2 linked regions of the Arabidopsis thaliana genome follow. The protein of the gene in region 1 interacts with the protein of each later gene in a pairwise test. Each region holds a gene or a part of one and is shown in the gene's direction. Other genes may lie near its edges.

What was found.
Region 2: the proteins of UBC11 (region 1) and AT3G49810 interact in a two-hybrid assay, tested with the Arabidopsis thaliana proteins (one large-scale study listed by BioGRID).

The regions. Positions count from the first base shown.
Region 1 is NC_003074.8:2,636,247-2,644,020, forward strand, and holds UBC11 (ubiquitin-conjugating enzyme 11), read left to right. Parts: upstream 1-4,765; 5' UTR 4,766-4,979; exon of another isoform or gene 4,980-5,119; intron 5,120-5,221; 5' UTR 5,222-5,240; coding exon 5,241-5,310; intron 5,311-5,678; coding exon 5,679-5,806; intron 5,807-5,888; coding exon 5,889-5,993; intron 5,994-6,099; coding exon 6,100-6,243; 3' UTR 6,244-6,673; downstream 6,674-7,774. Other genes in the region: AT3G08670 (serine/arginine repetitive matrix-like protein), read left to right, coding at 1-290; AT3G08680 (Leucine-rich repeat protein kinase family protein), read left to right, coding at 2,345-3,626, 3,704-4,344; UBC12 (ubiquitin-conjugating enzyme 12), read left to right, coding at 7,236-7,305, 7,715-7,774. UniProt on the Arabidopsis thaliana protein: Accepts the ubiquitin from the E1 complex and catalyzes its covalent attachment to other proteins. Mediates the selective degradation of short-lived and abnormal proteins.
Region 2 is NC_003074.8:18,473,150-18,480,923, reverse strand, and holds AT3G49810 (ARM repeat superfamily protein), read left to right. Parts: upstream 1-3,891; 5' UTR 3,892-4,641; coding exon 4,642-5,988; 3' UTR 5,989-6,619; downstream 6,620-7,774. Other genes in the region: AT3G49800 (BSD domain-containing protein), read left to right, coding at 7,248-7,774. UniProt on the Arabidopsis thaliana protein: Functions as an E3 ubiquitin ligase.

The DNA.
Region 1 (7,774 bases):
GACCAGCCTCATCCAAGATCCAGCCAATCCGTTCAGGGAATAATCATTCGGATTCTATCAGCAGCAATGGCACAGAGAACGGGAATGAAGCAAACGAGGGTAGAAGACTGATGGGGAAGTTGAGTGACATGGACATGTATGAGAGCTCAAGGTATGATGCATTGTTGCTGAAAGAGGACGTCAAAAACACAAACTGGTTACATAGCATCGATGACCGGTCGTCAGATCACGGACTCATGTTTGACAATGGAGGATTCGAGCTACTTCCAGAGCCATTTGCCCCACTATAACACACACACACACACACCCCACAAGTAAACACCTTTTTTTCTTTCTAAAATCACTTCTCTTTTTTTTTTTTTTTTTTTTTTAAATTTTATCTTACACAATTTGTTTGCTTGTCGATGGTGGAAAGATATAAGGCTCAAGTGGTTCTTGGTTCTTTGGTTATTGATTCTTGATTCATGGCTATTGAGTGAGGTTTGTAACTTTGTAGTTATAATATTTGAAGAGATGGTAACGTATAAGAGGGTACCTCATGTTCACTCTTGTTGGAAACGATCATGAACGAAAAAACAATTAGAATGTGAAAAGAGGAAAGAGAGGGTCACACGACTCACGCGCCTAACGTGAATCAATGACAGAGCTAAAGTTAATAATGGGTGACAACGAAGCACACAACCAACAACAGGCCAGTGTAGTTCTGATAAAAGAAAAAAATTAATTCCAGAAATTGACTTTCATTAATGTCATATTTGAGATTTAAGAAGTTTTAAATTTTTGTTATTTATTTTCTCTTTTATGTTACCCCAAAATAAATAAATACCCTCATTAATGTCACATACCAAACTCCTCCTCTTCAGGGGGTCCATATTTAAGAAAGATACCCTCTTACCCGAATTAAAAATATCAAATAAAGTAAGCTCAATTTGCAACATATAATAATTTGTTGAATATTCCCCACTCTTGTTGTTTTCCTTGCCCATTTTTTGATCTTGAAATACTTTTATCTTCTTATTGTTTAACGAATATCACAATCATCCATTTTCATTTATACATTGCATATTTTCAAAAAAGAAGCCATATATTTATTTAATCAACTGGTGACCCATTCAATAGAACATTACGATGCTTTTAAAAGAATAAGGAAATTAAATGTTGGGAATTCAGTAAATGCCGTTTATTAAAAGCTCTTATGTATAAATTCATTTAGAATAAAAACAAAGAGAAATTAACAAAAGGACAAATATTTAATTGAGCTTAGCAATAAAAAAAAAATCTAAAAAATTCGGAAGAGAGTCAAAGGGGGACTTAAAGCCAAAGAGAGCAAAGCAAATCGGAGTACAGAGAAGAAGAAGAGAGATTGGAATCTGAAACTGTAACATCGAGATTTACGTTTCTCCGTCGGCGTCACGCCGAAGCTTCCATACTCCAGAAACCCCAAAACGCTTATTTCTCAAAAATCTCCACTCTCTCTCTTCTGAATCTTCAATCACTTGGGGTTGTGTCACTGAATCTGCATCAATGGCGATTCCAGATTCCTCACTCTTTTCTGCTTTTGACTTTAGCTCTAGCTTCTTCTTCACGAAATGCCGTTGTTGTTAAAAAGTGATTTCTCCACTATCCCATTTCCTTTGGCATTTATTCTCCACTCTCTCTCACTTGTCTTCTTCTTCTTCTACGATCAGCTCACCAATGTCCTGAACCATTCTCCTCTGAATCAACCTCTAAGGTCTCTCTCACTTTCGATCTCTGTTTTCCCTCTTGTTTTGGGGTTTATTAGCTTCGTTGTTTATTCCTTTAAAAGATTTCTTCTTTCTCAATTTCAATTACTCCGTTTAGCTTAGCTGGAGAAACCCTAGTTTGTAGATTGCAGATCTGGGTTAATCAAGTATCTGTGCACACATTTATGTCTAAAATTAGTTACTTTCGTAATTGGATTTGTTTTTTTTGTGAAGATTTATTATTTGAAGTCAAACAGATTTCAGCTGATTGAATCAATGTGTGCATATAGCTTCCATAATTTCATATTTTGATTTGAGAATCGAGTAATGTTGCTTTGGACTTTATCATCAGCATTCCCACTTTGGTTTGAGAAATTACGCTATTGTATCTTTGTCATTATTAAGGAAGCTTTTCGTTGTGTTGATGATCTTTTTACTCATGATACCTGTGATGTGTAGGTGTCATTCTTGGCTACTTTATCCATAGATACATTTCTCATATTGAGTTTAGCTTTTATGTGGCTATAAATCATTACATGATGTGTTTTGTGTTCTCTTGCAGTTGCTGTTGAATGAGAAAGCTTTGATGTGAGCGAGCCTGAGAGTGTAACAAAGGACTGATGATGAAGATTATTGCGGCGTTTCTCTTCCTCTTGGTCACGACTTTTGTTTCCCGTTGTTTGTCTGCAGACATAGAATCGGACAAGCAAGCACTGCTTGAGTTTGCATCTCTTGTTCCTCACAGTCGCAAACTCAACTGGAACTCCACTATTCCAATCTGTGCCTCTTGGACTGGTATCACCTGCTCCAAGAACAACGCCCGTGTAACCGCACTCCGTTTGCCTGGATCTGGACTTTATGGACCTTTACCAGAGAAAACATTTGAGAAGCTTGATGCCCTCAGGATCATTAGCCTTAGATCCAACCACCTTCAAGGGAACATTCCATCTGTCATTCTTTCACTTCCTTTTATCCGATCACTATACTTTCATGAAAACAACTTTTCTGGTACTATCCCTCCCGTCCTTTCTCATCGCCTCGTTAATCTTGATCTCTCCGCCAACTCGCTCTCGGGAAACATTCCCACGAGTCTACAAAACCTTACCCAGCTCACTGATCTCAGCCTGCAAAACAATTCTCTTAGTGGTCCAATTCCTAACCTCCCTCCTCGCCTTAAATACTTGAATTTGAGCTTCAATAACCTTAACGGGTCAGTTCCATCTTCTGTCAAGTCCTTCCCAGCATCCTCATTTCAAGGTAATAGCCTTCTATGCGGTGCTCCTCTGACTCCATGCCCAGAAAACACCACTGCACCATCTCCTTCACCGACAACACCAACAGAAGGTCCTGGTACAACCAATATAGGTCGTGGTACCGCCAAAAAAGTTCTCTCCACTGGTGCTATTGTGGGCATTGCAGTTGGAGGTTCGGTTCTGTTGTTTATCATTCTTGCCATCATAACCCTTTGCTGTGCCAAGAAAAGAGATGGCGGGCAAGATAGCACCGCAGTGCCAAAAGCTAAACCCGGGAGGAGTGACAACAAGGCTGAGGAGTTTGGGAGTGGGGTGCAAGAGGCGGAGAAGAACAAGCTGGTCTTCTTTGAAGGAAGTTCATATAACTTTGATCTTGAGGACTTGCTCAGAGCCTCGGCTGAAGTTTTAGGGAAAGGAAGCTATGGCACAACGTATAAGGCCATCTTAGAGGAAGGAACCACGGTGGTGGTGAAGAGACTGAAAGAAGTAGCAGCTGGGAAACGGGAGTTCGAGCAGCAGATGGAAGCCGTGGGAAGGATCAGTCCACACGTGAATGTAGCTCCTCTCCGTGCCTATTACTTTTCAAAAGACGAGAAGCTACTCGTGTATGATTACTACCAAGGGGGCAATTTCTCCATGCTGCTTCATGGTAATATGATGTTTTACATGTTACTCAAGGTTATAAAAAGTGGCTTTAAAGTAACACTTTAGATGAATTCTATGCAGGAAACAATGAGGGAGGAAGAGCAGCGTTGGACTGGGAAACAAGGTTAAGGATCTGTTTGGAAGCTGCGAGGGGAATTTCTCACATCCATTCTGCATCTGGTGCTAAACTCCTCCATGGAAACATCAAATCACCAAATGTCCTCTTAACCCAAGAACTTCATGTCTGTGTCTCTGATTTCGGTATAGCTCCATTGATGAGCCATCACACCTTGATCCCATCAAGAAGCTTAGGTTACAGAGCACCCGAGGCCATAGAAACACGGAAACATACCCAGAAGTCCGACGTATACAGCTTTGGTGTACTGTTGCTAGAAATGCTGACTGGGAAAGCAGCAGGGAAGACTACTGGGCATGAAGAAGTGGTGGATCTGCCAAAGTGGGTGCAATCAGTGGTGAGAGAGGAGTGGACTGGAGAAGTGTTTGACGTAGAGCTGATCAAGCAGCAACACAACGTAGAGGAAGAAATGGTGCAGATGTTGCAGATAGCAATGGCATGTGTGTCTAAGCATCCAGATTCTAGGCCTTCAATGGAGGAAGTGGTTAACATGATGGAGGAGATTCGACCTTCAGGGTCCGGTCCTGGTTCTGGTAACAGAGCCTCCTCGCCGGAGATGATCAGAAGCTCTGATAGCCCGGTTTAGATTGGTTTTAAATTCTCTTTCTCTCATTCTCAAATCATTATTTATTTTTGCTTTTCCTTCTTCTTCTTCTTCATAAACCGTTTATTTTAGTTCTCTATGTCTGACTGCATAATTTATTCCAATCAATATCTGGAATTGTAGTGTAATTGAAACCCTCACCATGAATGGTTGTAGTTCTTAGATTGGTTATAAGTGTGCGACTAGTTTTGAATTTTCATTTGTTGTTGTATGATTCGTTTAAATTAAATCACAAGAGTCTTTGGGTGTTTGAAAATCTAACTGAAATAGTGATACAATTATATGTGAAATTTATCGTCTCAAAAAGATAAACTACATGAGTAAATAAATAAAAATAAAATCATTGCTCTGTATTTTTTGACTGCATGAGTCCTAATTGGTGAAATAAAAAAACTTTTGGCACGAGAATTAATAAATATATAGAAAAGGTGAAATAGGTGAGGCGGTACTTGCTGATAGAATCAGAAGCTTCGAGACTGACTTGTTTTAGATTCTCTGACTATAAAGAAAGGCAAAGTAACAAGTTTCGTTTTCTCCTTTGCACTCCATTTTTATTCTCGATTCTCTTCTCTCCCGATAAAGAAGCTCTCGCTTTGTGTTGTCCGTCCTTCTTCCAGGTCTAATTCCACCATTTCTCTTTGGTTAAACCCTAATTTCTTTCTCTCCCGAATCGTCCTCTGTTTTTGTTTTGCGCGATTAGTTTCCACCGCTTAATAATAGGGTTTCCGATCACTTACGTTTTGTGTTGTTTTGTTCGGTCTCTGGTTCTTCCACTGTGATCTGTTTTGTTCTTAAGTTGATTGTCTTAAGTTATATCCTCTGTTCAATAATATTCTGGTCTTGTTGGGGGTTTCCACAGGTTTTCTCGTCTCTGACGCATGGCTTCTAAGAGGATCTTGAAGGAGCTCAAGGATCTGCAGAAGGATCCTCCTTCAAACTGCAGCGCTGGTAATCTCCCTTTTCTAATCTGATTTTAACCAATTACTTACCTGGCACTAATGACTCTGAATTAGGTTCCTTACTCTCTCACTAGATTGATGTAGGTTAGGGTATCAAGTATCATACTTTATTTCCTCAATCCATGTTATGCTTCTGATTTTTTTTTTGGTAAAAGCTTTGGTTTGCTAGACTCTTTGATTAACGCTGATCTCATGGATTTTGTTGTCTGTTATGCACTTCATATTTACCCTTTCCTGTCCTGTATTTGACAAGTATCCAGAACTCTGCATGGTTTTGAGTTTATGTCAAAGTGTCTCCTTTTGTAGCTCCTGCTAATATGTCTTTATTGATGTAATTTTGTTGTCACGTTGTTTTAGGTCCGGTGGCTGAGGACATGTTCCATTGGCAAGCCACTATCATGGGACCTCCTGAAAGTCCGTATGCCGGAGGAGTGTTTTTGGTTTCTATTCATTTCCCTCCGGATTATCCTTTCAAGCCACCAAAGGTAATGTGTTGTGTTATGAGACTCTTTATGATTCATCGGTTTTTATCATTGATCTTATGATGTGAATCCATCGATCTTGCAGGTGTCTTTTAAGACTAAGGTGTACCATCCAAACATCAATAGCAATGGAAGTATTTGCCTTGATATTTTGAAAGAGCAATGGAGCCCTGCTCTTACTATCTCTAAGGTTCGAGTTTGTGTATCTCTACTCCTACCATTTTAACACAAATTATGTTACTATCTTAGCCAATTTTGTGTGTTAACGCGAGCGATATTGATGCTGTGGAAATTAGGTTCTGTTGTCGATTTGCTCGCTGTTGACTGACCCAAACCCAGATGATCCTCTTGTGCCGGAGATAGCTCACATGTACAAGACAGATAGATCCAAGTACGAGTCAACTGCGAGAAGCTGGACACAAAAGTACGCAATGGGTTGATGATATAAGACAAAGCAAAGGATATGTTATTGCGCATCGGAATAAAATAATAACTTAAAAAAAATGCACTTGTTTGGTTTATCAAACGTTAGCAAGTATCGAACAACTTAGCTGCTCTTACTCCTCTTCTGTTCTGATCACTATAAACTAGTATTAATTTCGATTGTTGGGTCTACTTTTATTCTCTTGTTTCCCTCTCCTCACTTGGTTGCAGGAAACTGCAATTCTAATCGCCCCAAACGCAATGTTTGGACTGTTTTGGTACACTCTTGACATAAGGGGTTCCAATCTACACATGGATCAACCACAACCAAAACCAAACCAACTATGAGCCTTCCATAGTTAGGATTATACATTGCTCCCAAATACAAAACTCGTTCCTAATCTTCTATTAACTTATACCAAAGTTGGTATATTTATGATTAAATTATTGATTTTCTTAATTTTTTTAATATATTTCAAAAGTGTACATGGTTCTAATAAAACACTTAAGAAATTTTCCATATTGTTTACAATAGCTGTTTTAGGAAATATCATATCTATAGACCAAACCAAGAATATCTTTAGACCAAACCAAGAATAGGTGTTTTAGAAAATAAACATATCTTTGGTTGCAATTTTCCAATATCATCCGCCATGGGTCCCTACTAATAGGTCAGGCGGTACTTGCCGACAGAATCAGAAGCCTCGAGACTGACTTGTATTCTCCGACTATAAAAAAGAAGTAGAGGGTTTTAGGCTTTTCACGAATCTCTTCTCTCTTTTGTAGTGGCCTTGAAAAAAAGATTCAATCTCCTGTTGTGGTATGTTTCTTTTGATCCATCTTTCCTTTATGTTTTCTGTTTCAACTACTTCTTAGGGTTTATCATCACTTACGTTACGTATGTATTGTTTTATTCGTCTTCCTCTATGATATGTTATGTTCTTAGTTGAATTCCTTAATACTCATTGTGTGTTGCTTATCTCGTCCGCAGGTTTTCGAGTCTAAAAGCATGGCTTCTAAGAGGATTTCAAGGGAACTGAGGGATATGCAGAGACATCCTCCAGCAAACTGTAGCGCAGGTAATCTCCCTTTTCTTGGCTGATTTTGACTGATAGATTCACACTAAAAACACTTTTAGGGTTTGATATATGTCACACTTTTATTTCATCAATCCACATTATATGTTTCTGAGTTTTTTTTGGTAACGCTATGATTTGTTAGACTCTCTTTGGTTCTGTTATATATATGTACTCTGCATGAACCTTTTTTTTTTTTTTTTTTGTATTCGAGAAAACTCGTTAAACCTTTGCCTGGTACGATTAAGAATATCCAGAGGTTTAGCTTGCTTTTATTTCAAGTGTCTCCTTTTGTACTTCTTATTTATTCTGCCAATTTGTCTCTGTTCTATAAGAAGTATCACTTGATCATGCAGGTTTTATTGTCTTTTTCGATGAATAAATGGGTCTGATTGCAACGTCTTTCTTATAGGTCCTGTGGCTGAGGAGGACATATTCCATTGGCAAGCAACTATCATGGGACCGCATGACA
Region 2 (7,774 bases), about 16 Mb from region 1:
TAAATCTGGATATTTGAGATGGGTTAGTTAGTAGTTAAAAGGGTATAATGGCTTGGTTCAACTACTTTCTTCAAAGCATGACGCTTGGTATGATAGTTCGGCCCATATATTAAATTTGATCCAATGTATAGACCCAATAGATTAGCACTCTTGTTTGCATCACTACATTACTCTAACCCACTATCGAATACTACAAAACTTTAACTGATTATTGAATCCTATCGTTTGGGATTAATTTGGTTCCAAAGAAATTCATGTGAGGAGATCACAAATAAATTGTTATCGAGATTTGGCCATTACTCTAACTTATCTAGAGCGACAAATATAATTTATAACTGGAGGTACACTATTTAGATCCTAGATTGTAGGTTTCGAAAATCTTGGGCGTTACAAGCAAAAACTCTTGGTATCATTGAATCCATACGTCATATAGTGTATAATTTATTTACAAATATATAGGTGCCTCATGCATGTGTCTGATATGTACATACTACTATAGACATAGATTTAGGGGGTAGAGCGTCACGACTCACGTGACAGTCCAAAGCTAAAATGGCTAGAAAATCAAACATATAGAATACGCGTAGGAATGCGGTATATACCTTTTTTATTCCTTCGTGCTTCTACTTTTGCATTTATTAAAAGATTGTTTCACACTTCTTTAACGTTAAAATAAATGAGCTAAAGCCTAAAATACTAAAGATAAACATATGCGTAGGCAATGCATTATAGTGTATTCATGTTTACCGATGTCATGGGCTCGATTGGTAACACCGAGAATGACGAAAGCGTAGACAAAAATGGTAGAATAAAATGGCATAAAGTCATAACGACAAAGCAAGAAAAAAACAATTTGATTAGAACTATGTTATTGTTGAATTAGTTTGTTATTTTTCATTAATCTTCCATAATCGACCTACGAATTTTCTTGCCTTTTATTAGTCCCTTCTATATCAGTAAATTCATTTTCTTTAAAACATATGTTTGAATCTGCTATACAATTAACAATGTGATCTCATATATGTTTAGACACAAATTGAACCTTTTCCGCAACGATTTTAAGTTGATACAAGAGTATTTCTATTGTATTAGTTGCAGTCATCATCATTATAAATTGACACAACAAAACCTCATTACCTAAAGTGGCATTATTTCACTGTATTCTCATAGAACTATAGAAGTCAAGTTATTTCTCATAGTTGAACGATATTTGACATCCACAAACTCTCTACCATCAAAAGTTATGAGTGTTACATTGCCAATCCGATATACCATCGAATTAGTGATCAATTCCTATAGTTACCTTTCCTCACATTCTCCAAAATCACGAACTGCTCAGTGCATCATGTCTTTAGAGCCCACTCATCCCCATCAAGTCGAAGAATCTACATGATTAAGTGTCATTAGAGTCAGTTTCTTTATATATTTAGCTCATAAATTAAGAGCTAGTAGTCTCGATCTCCATTACATGTTGCAGCGATTGATATTATACGTAAGTATACAATGCAGACATGCGTAAATCATCTTGTCCCAAACAAGACTTGAATCAGAAATCATACCTACCTCTTTTGAAATGTCGACGTCTACCACTAGACCACCACTTAATTGGTTAGTGTCAGTTCATTCTTTCATAATTTGAAACCTTCTAGCTCAACAAACATAAAACAAGAACAAATTCAACACACGTATTAAAAACTGTTGATCCCAACAACGAAAATACGACACACAGTAGTTGAATTTTCGTCACTTCGTTTTCATGAAATGGTTACGCTTTTATTCGTAGGTCCACCTCTAGTCACCACCACTCACACCAGTCATTAGCACTCGGTCCGTATTACTACTTAGATGATATGTTAAATCAATTTTGTTTTTTGATATAGTTATTGTTATTATATTTTTATAATATCACTATCAATCTCCCATCATCCCAAAGGCTAAAAAAACTTGATTACAAAACAAGTCATATCACATTTAAACACTTGCCGGTCCACTTTAGTATATCATCTTAGTTTGACTAGAAAAAAAAAACGTCATAGACACAAAATTTTTGGTTTTATCATTATCAACAACTCTGAAAATCATTTCATTTGAATCTGCAATTTCATTTCAAAAATGGGTCCAGTAATAAGTAATCAATATATTTTTCAATGAAATAATAAATAAAAATATATGTTTGGACAGCAAACTTTGCAGTTATGGGTCAGTACTCAACTGCAACAAAAAGAACACATGGTCTCTCTTACAGATCTCTATCTCTTTCTCTATCCCCACTCCCATCAATTTCCAAGTTTTATTATTAAATTATCTTGATTTGGTAGAGAGTTTGTTTTGTTAAAAATATGAAAAATTTGAAAACCAAATTAATTAACAAATGAAGGTTGGGTGGGGAAGAGGCAGATGTGGACACGTGGTGGGATATGATTGGGTAAAAGGAACAGTCAAAGGGGGCAAAGAGATTAGACCCGGAGACGATCGACGCTTATAGTCAAAGCAAGACACTGTCACGGTCAAATATTATGTCTAGCTGGCACTTTTGTTTGTGGTCCCCATCTCACTCCTCTCTGTTTTTTTTTTCTTTTCTAATAGTGTGTGATATTTATAAAGTATATTTCTCAAAAAAATATTTATTTTTAAAACTTTTTTATTTTGAAACTGCAATTATGTGAAACAATTTAACCAATTTTTAAATGTTGTTTTTATATAAAAATTCTTATTCGTCAGCAGATTAAATCGATTCAAAAAGTTGTTTGGCAATAAGCTTTTTTAATAGCTATTATAATTTTTTTTGAAGTAATATTATAGGGAAATATCCGTTTGGGTTAGAATTTAATATAATAAATCTAAAATATAGGTTTAGATTTAATTGGGTTCGAATATATTCGGGTAAATACTTGAATTTTCGGATAAAATTTTGGGTTTAAGGTAAAATTTATATTTTCGAATAAAAATATTTGAGTATTTTTGGATTGTGGTTGGATTCGATTTTTTTAGTTTAGGAATTTAGAATTCAATATAATAAATCTTTCGATTCGGATTCGGTTTTAGATCCAATTATTTGGGTCGGTTTCGGTTCGGGTAATCGGTTTCGGTTTTTTTTTTCAGTTTTAATTTTTTTTATATACTAAAAAGAGGTGAAGGAAGGTATTGGTATAACAAACAAAAAATCAAGAGTTGTTCCTTTGGAATTAATAACGATGATAAGATTGAAATTAAAAAAGTAATTAAGAAATTAAACATAGAAATTATCGTCACACGTGCCCCGACCTGTACGGGTTACTCTTCCCCGTGGGTGTTTGGAGTTTAGTGCAAACTTCTCAGCTTTTTTGACTACGTTGCCGGATTTTCTTTACTCTTTCATTTTTACCACTTTACCCTCATTTTTGTTTATCCTTCAACATTTTTTTTGTTTTTTTAACAAAATCCTTAACCTTAACAAACATCTTTTTAACATAAATGGGAAAAGTATTTATCCTTAGTTAGCGTGGATATTAAGAAAAAAAAAGCTAAAAGAAAATTTAGAATTTCACTGTTGTCTTTTTTTGACTAATTAAAGGATATTCCCAATTTTAAATCCAAAATATTATCAGAAAAAACTAAAACTATTCATTCACATACCAAAGTGTTTATTCCACACTTTATTGGAAGGAACAATTACATCTCCTGTATAATTTGACTGAAATAATGTGTTTAAAATTACTAATTCTTTATTATTGGGAGAATTTTCTTGGTTGCCTAATTAATTACGTTTTAAAACTATAAAAGGTAGGGACAAAATTGGAAATCAAAATTATTAAGCTGAGTTTTTCAATGGTAATTAAAAAAGAGAGTTGTATTATAATAAAACCGGGAGGTGAGGGCATGTCACATGTGGTGTAGCTTGCACGTGTGGTACGCGAGTCGAGAGGACTAAATGACCGGCTATAACCAGTGAATTCACCGGTCACCTTATCTTTAATTTTTTTAGATTTTCCACCCGAATCTTTCAACAAATCTTTAATCTCTCCCCTTTTTTCTCCTTTTTATTTTATTCACCCCATTTTTTTTTCCTCTCAAAGAAACAAAAACAAAACAATCACTCACACTACCTCAGAAGAAGGTAAGAGAGAAACAAACAAACAAAAGAGAGAGTACGGGTTTCTTCTTCGTCATTCTCACGAATTCGTGAATTTATTTTTGATTTCGTCATCTGGGTTTTCTCAAATTCTCTTCCTTTTTTATCTTTTGAGATTTTCTGGTATTGAAAGTTCAAACCTTTGTACTGGGTTCGTTGATTTTTTTTTGGTTTCCTTCTCATTATTCTTCATGATTCCTCCTTTTTTCTGTTTCTCGAAATTTGTGGTTATAAAATTCACATTTTTTTTGGGAGCAGTTGGGTTTCAATCATGTGTTTATGATGTTATATTATTAACAAGAGTTGAATGAATCTTCTTTTTGACCGTTGAAAAGAGAAAAACTAAATTAAAGCAAAGAGGAAAAAGAAGAAGAAGAAGATTGTGTTGTTGTTGTTGTTTTAACGCTTCTTTCTGAGATAAAGACATGCGTTTCTTTTTCAGCTCACATTATTTTCCCAAATGTTGTGAGTTTGAGAAGAAAAGTCTGTTTTTTTATTGAGATTTTTTTGTTTCTATAGATTCTATCGAAATGCCGATGTTTCAGCCGTTAAAGAGAGATGGGTTAATAGGATTTGAAGGTGGTGGTGATGGGCAAGTCTTAGATCTGGATACTGCAGTGAAAGATGGAGTTCTCGGTGGTGTTAATGGTGGTGGTGTTGGAGTTGTTGATGAGAAATTGGATCTGAAGAAGATGATAAAGGAGCTAGATTTACAAGATATACCTTCTGTTTTCATTTGTCCTATCTCCTTAGAGCCGATGCAAGATCCTGTGACTTTGTGTACTGGTCAAACCTATGAAAGGTTAAACATTCACAAATGGTTTAACCTAGGTCACTTGACTTGTCCTACTACAATGCAAGAGCTTTGGGATGATACGGTAACTCCTAATAAAACTCTTCATCATTTGATCTATACTTGGTTCTCTCAGAAGTATGTGTTGATGAAGAAACGTTCTGAGGATGTTCAAGGACGAGCTATTGAGATTTTGGGGACTTTGAAGAAAGCTAAAGGTCAAGCTAGGGTTCATGCTTTGAGTGAGCTTAAACAGATTGTTATTGCTCATCTTATGGCGAGGAAGACTGTTGTTGAAGAAGGTGGTGTCTCTGTGATCTCTTCTCTTTTGGGTCCTTTTACTTCTCATGCTGTTGGATCTGAGGTTGTTGCTATTCTTGTGAGTCTTGATCTTGATTCTGATTCGAAATCCGGCTTGATGCAACCAGCTAAGGTTTCTTTGATTGTTGATATGTTGAATGATGGATCTAATGAGACTAAGATCAATTGTGCTAGATTGATTAGAGGATTGGTGGAAGAGAAAGGGTTTAGAGCAGAGCTTGTTTCAAGTCATAGTTTGCTTGTTGGGTTAATGAGATTGGTTAAGGATAAGAGACATAGAAATGGAGTATCTCCTGCACTTCGGTTGCTTAAACCGATTTCGGTTCATAAACAAGTTCGAAGCTTGATGGTTAGCATTGGAGCAGTGCCTCAATTAGTTGATATCTTACCGTCTTTAGACCCGGAATGTTTGGAGTTAGCTCTGTTTGTTCTTGATGCTTTGTGTACAGACGTGGAAGGAAGAGTTGCTGTCAAAGACTCTGCAAACACAATACCTTATACAGTTAGGGTGCTGATGAGGGTGTCTGAGAATTGCACTAACTACGCGCTGTCGATTCTTTGGTCTGTCTGCAAATTAGCTCCAGAAGAATGTTCACCACTTGCTGTTGAGGTTGGTCTTGCTGCAAAGCTGTTACTCGTGATCCAGAGCGGGTGTGATGCAGCGTTGAAGCAGCGGTCAGCAGAGCTACTTAAGCTTTGTAGTCTACATTATTCAGACACCATGTTTATTTCCAAATGCAAACTCACAAGGACAATCCAATAGCATTGGCACTGATTGATCACAGGATTCAGCGGGTTATCCATGAAACGGTAAATGTGCATTGCATTACGAATCTGCCTTTGCCCTGATGTATATATAGATGATGAGTTTGAAGATTGAGCTATTGGTTTTGGTGGTAACAATTCAAAGGAAGAGGCAATCAGCTGATGGAAACATGGGGAAGACGAAGAAACCGGGTGGTTGAGGGATCGGTATGTAATGTTACCATATTGGTTCGTTTTGCAATAAGCATTGGGAATTAGAAAAAAACTGTGTAAAGTTACCGCCTCTGGCTCAAATCAATTTCAGAAGAACAAAGAAAAAGAAGAATTTGAAGAAAGGAACCATATTAAGTTAAACCTCTCTACTTTGGGTTCTTGTGAGAGGTTGTTTTGCTTTTTGACCATTCACAACAGAGAAAAAAAAAAAAAAAAAAAAGCAAAATCTTTGACCCTGAACTTGTAGAAGCCTCTTTTAAGCTTTTGAATCTTTTTTTCTTCATTCAATGTTTTCTTTTAGCTTTACTTAGATTAGGAATTAGACAATTGTCATGATTTCATCTTTGTTCTCAGCCTCCTTATTGTCTTCAACGAAGTAAATATCAAAAACGTGATTCTTGAAAAATCAATCACTGTTATTGCATAGAGTGACATCTCAAAGTACAGTATGATGTGAATTTTGATTCTTGTCTAATAAGTAGAGCACATAAGTTGTGGTGGAGACCAAAAGTCTCCATACATTGTTCTGAACTACTACTGTTGTAATGAACAATTGAAAAGAAATGTGAGATTTGACAAGTGAATCATTCAACAATTTCTACTGTTTTTTAACACAAAAATAAACATAGGCTTATTTTACTTGTCCTGTTTTTGGAAATGAGTCTGAGCAAATCTCTGTTTTGAGTGGGTTTGTGTATAACACAGTGTGATGTGAGAGTTTTTGTCTTGACATATAAAACTCTGTAACAGAGAATAACAGTAACCAAACCTATAGATGGGCTAGATATTGTACCTTATGGGCTTTAGCTACTAAGCCCATTTGCATAATTAAACAACGACGTTTCTTAAATTGAATGGTGTCCCGCATACCCTAGCCCCTAGATGGGCTGGACTTTCAATCTTATGGGCTATTTTTACGTAGCTCATTAACTAATCCAGCGACGACGTTTCGTAAGGTTGAATATTTAGCGTCAATGGTGTCTCGTTAAAGGTCGCGGATTAAGAGAGAGATACTCGAGAGACTTGTGAGAGATCCCCAAAAAAATGGCATGGCTTGCTAGATCCATTGCGAATTCTCTGAAGATCGATGAGGAAGAATATGATCAAAAGGAAACGATTAAGACCAATTCGATTGAAAATTCCGGCTCAGATCAACCGTCTTCGCCATCGGTGTTGCAAACACAGTCTCCACGAGGCGTGAAGGAAGACATCTCTGAACTCACCAAGACCTTAAGAAGTCAGCTATGGGGCGTTGCTTCTTTCCTCGCGCCACCTCCTTCTTCTTCCGATACGGCGGATCATGTGGATGAGGAGACTCGGAAGTCATCGGATCTCGCGGAAGGTGATGAGGATCTGATTGCTGGAATCAGGAACGATTTCGTTGAGATCGGAGGTAGATTTAAGACTGGGATCTCGAAACTCTCTGGAAACTTACCGGTATCGAAGTTTACAAATATGGCTTCGAATTTCTTGCAATTGGGATCGGAAGGTGTGGATTCGAAGAACCGTGATGTTGCGATTGGAAATGCAATTGGTGTGACGGAGGAAGTAGTTTTGTTTGCTAGAGATCT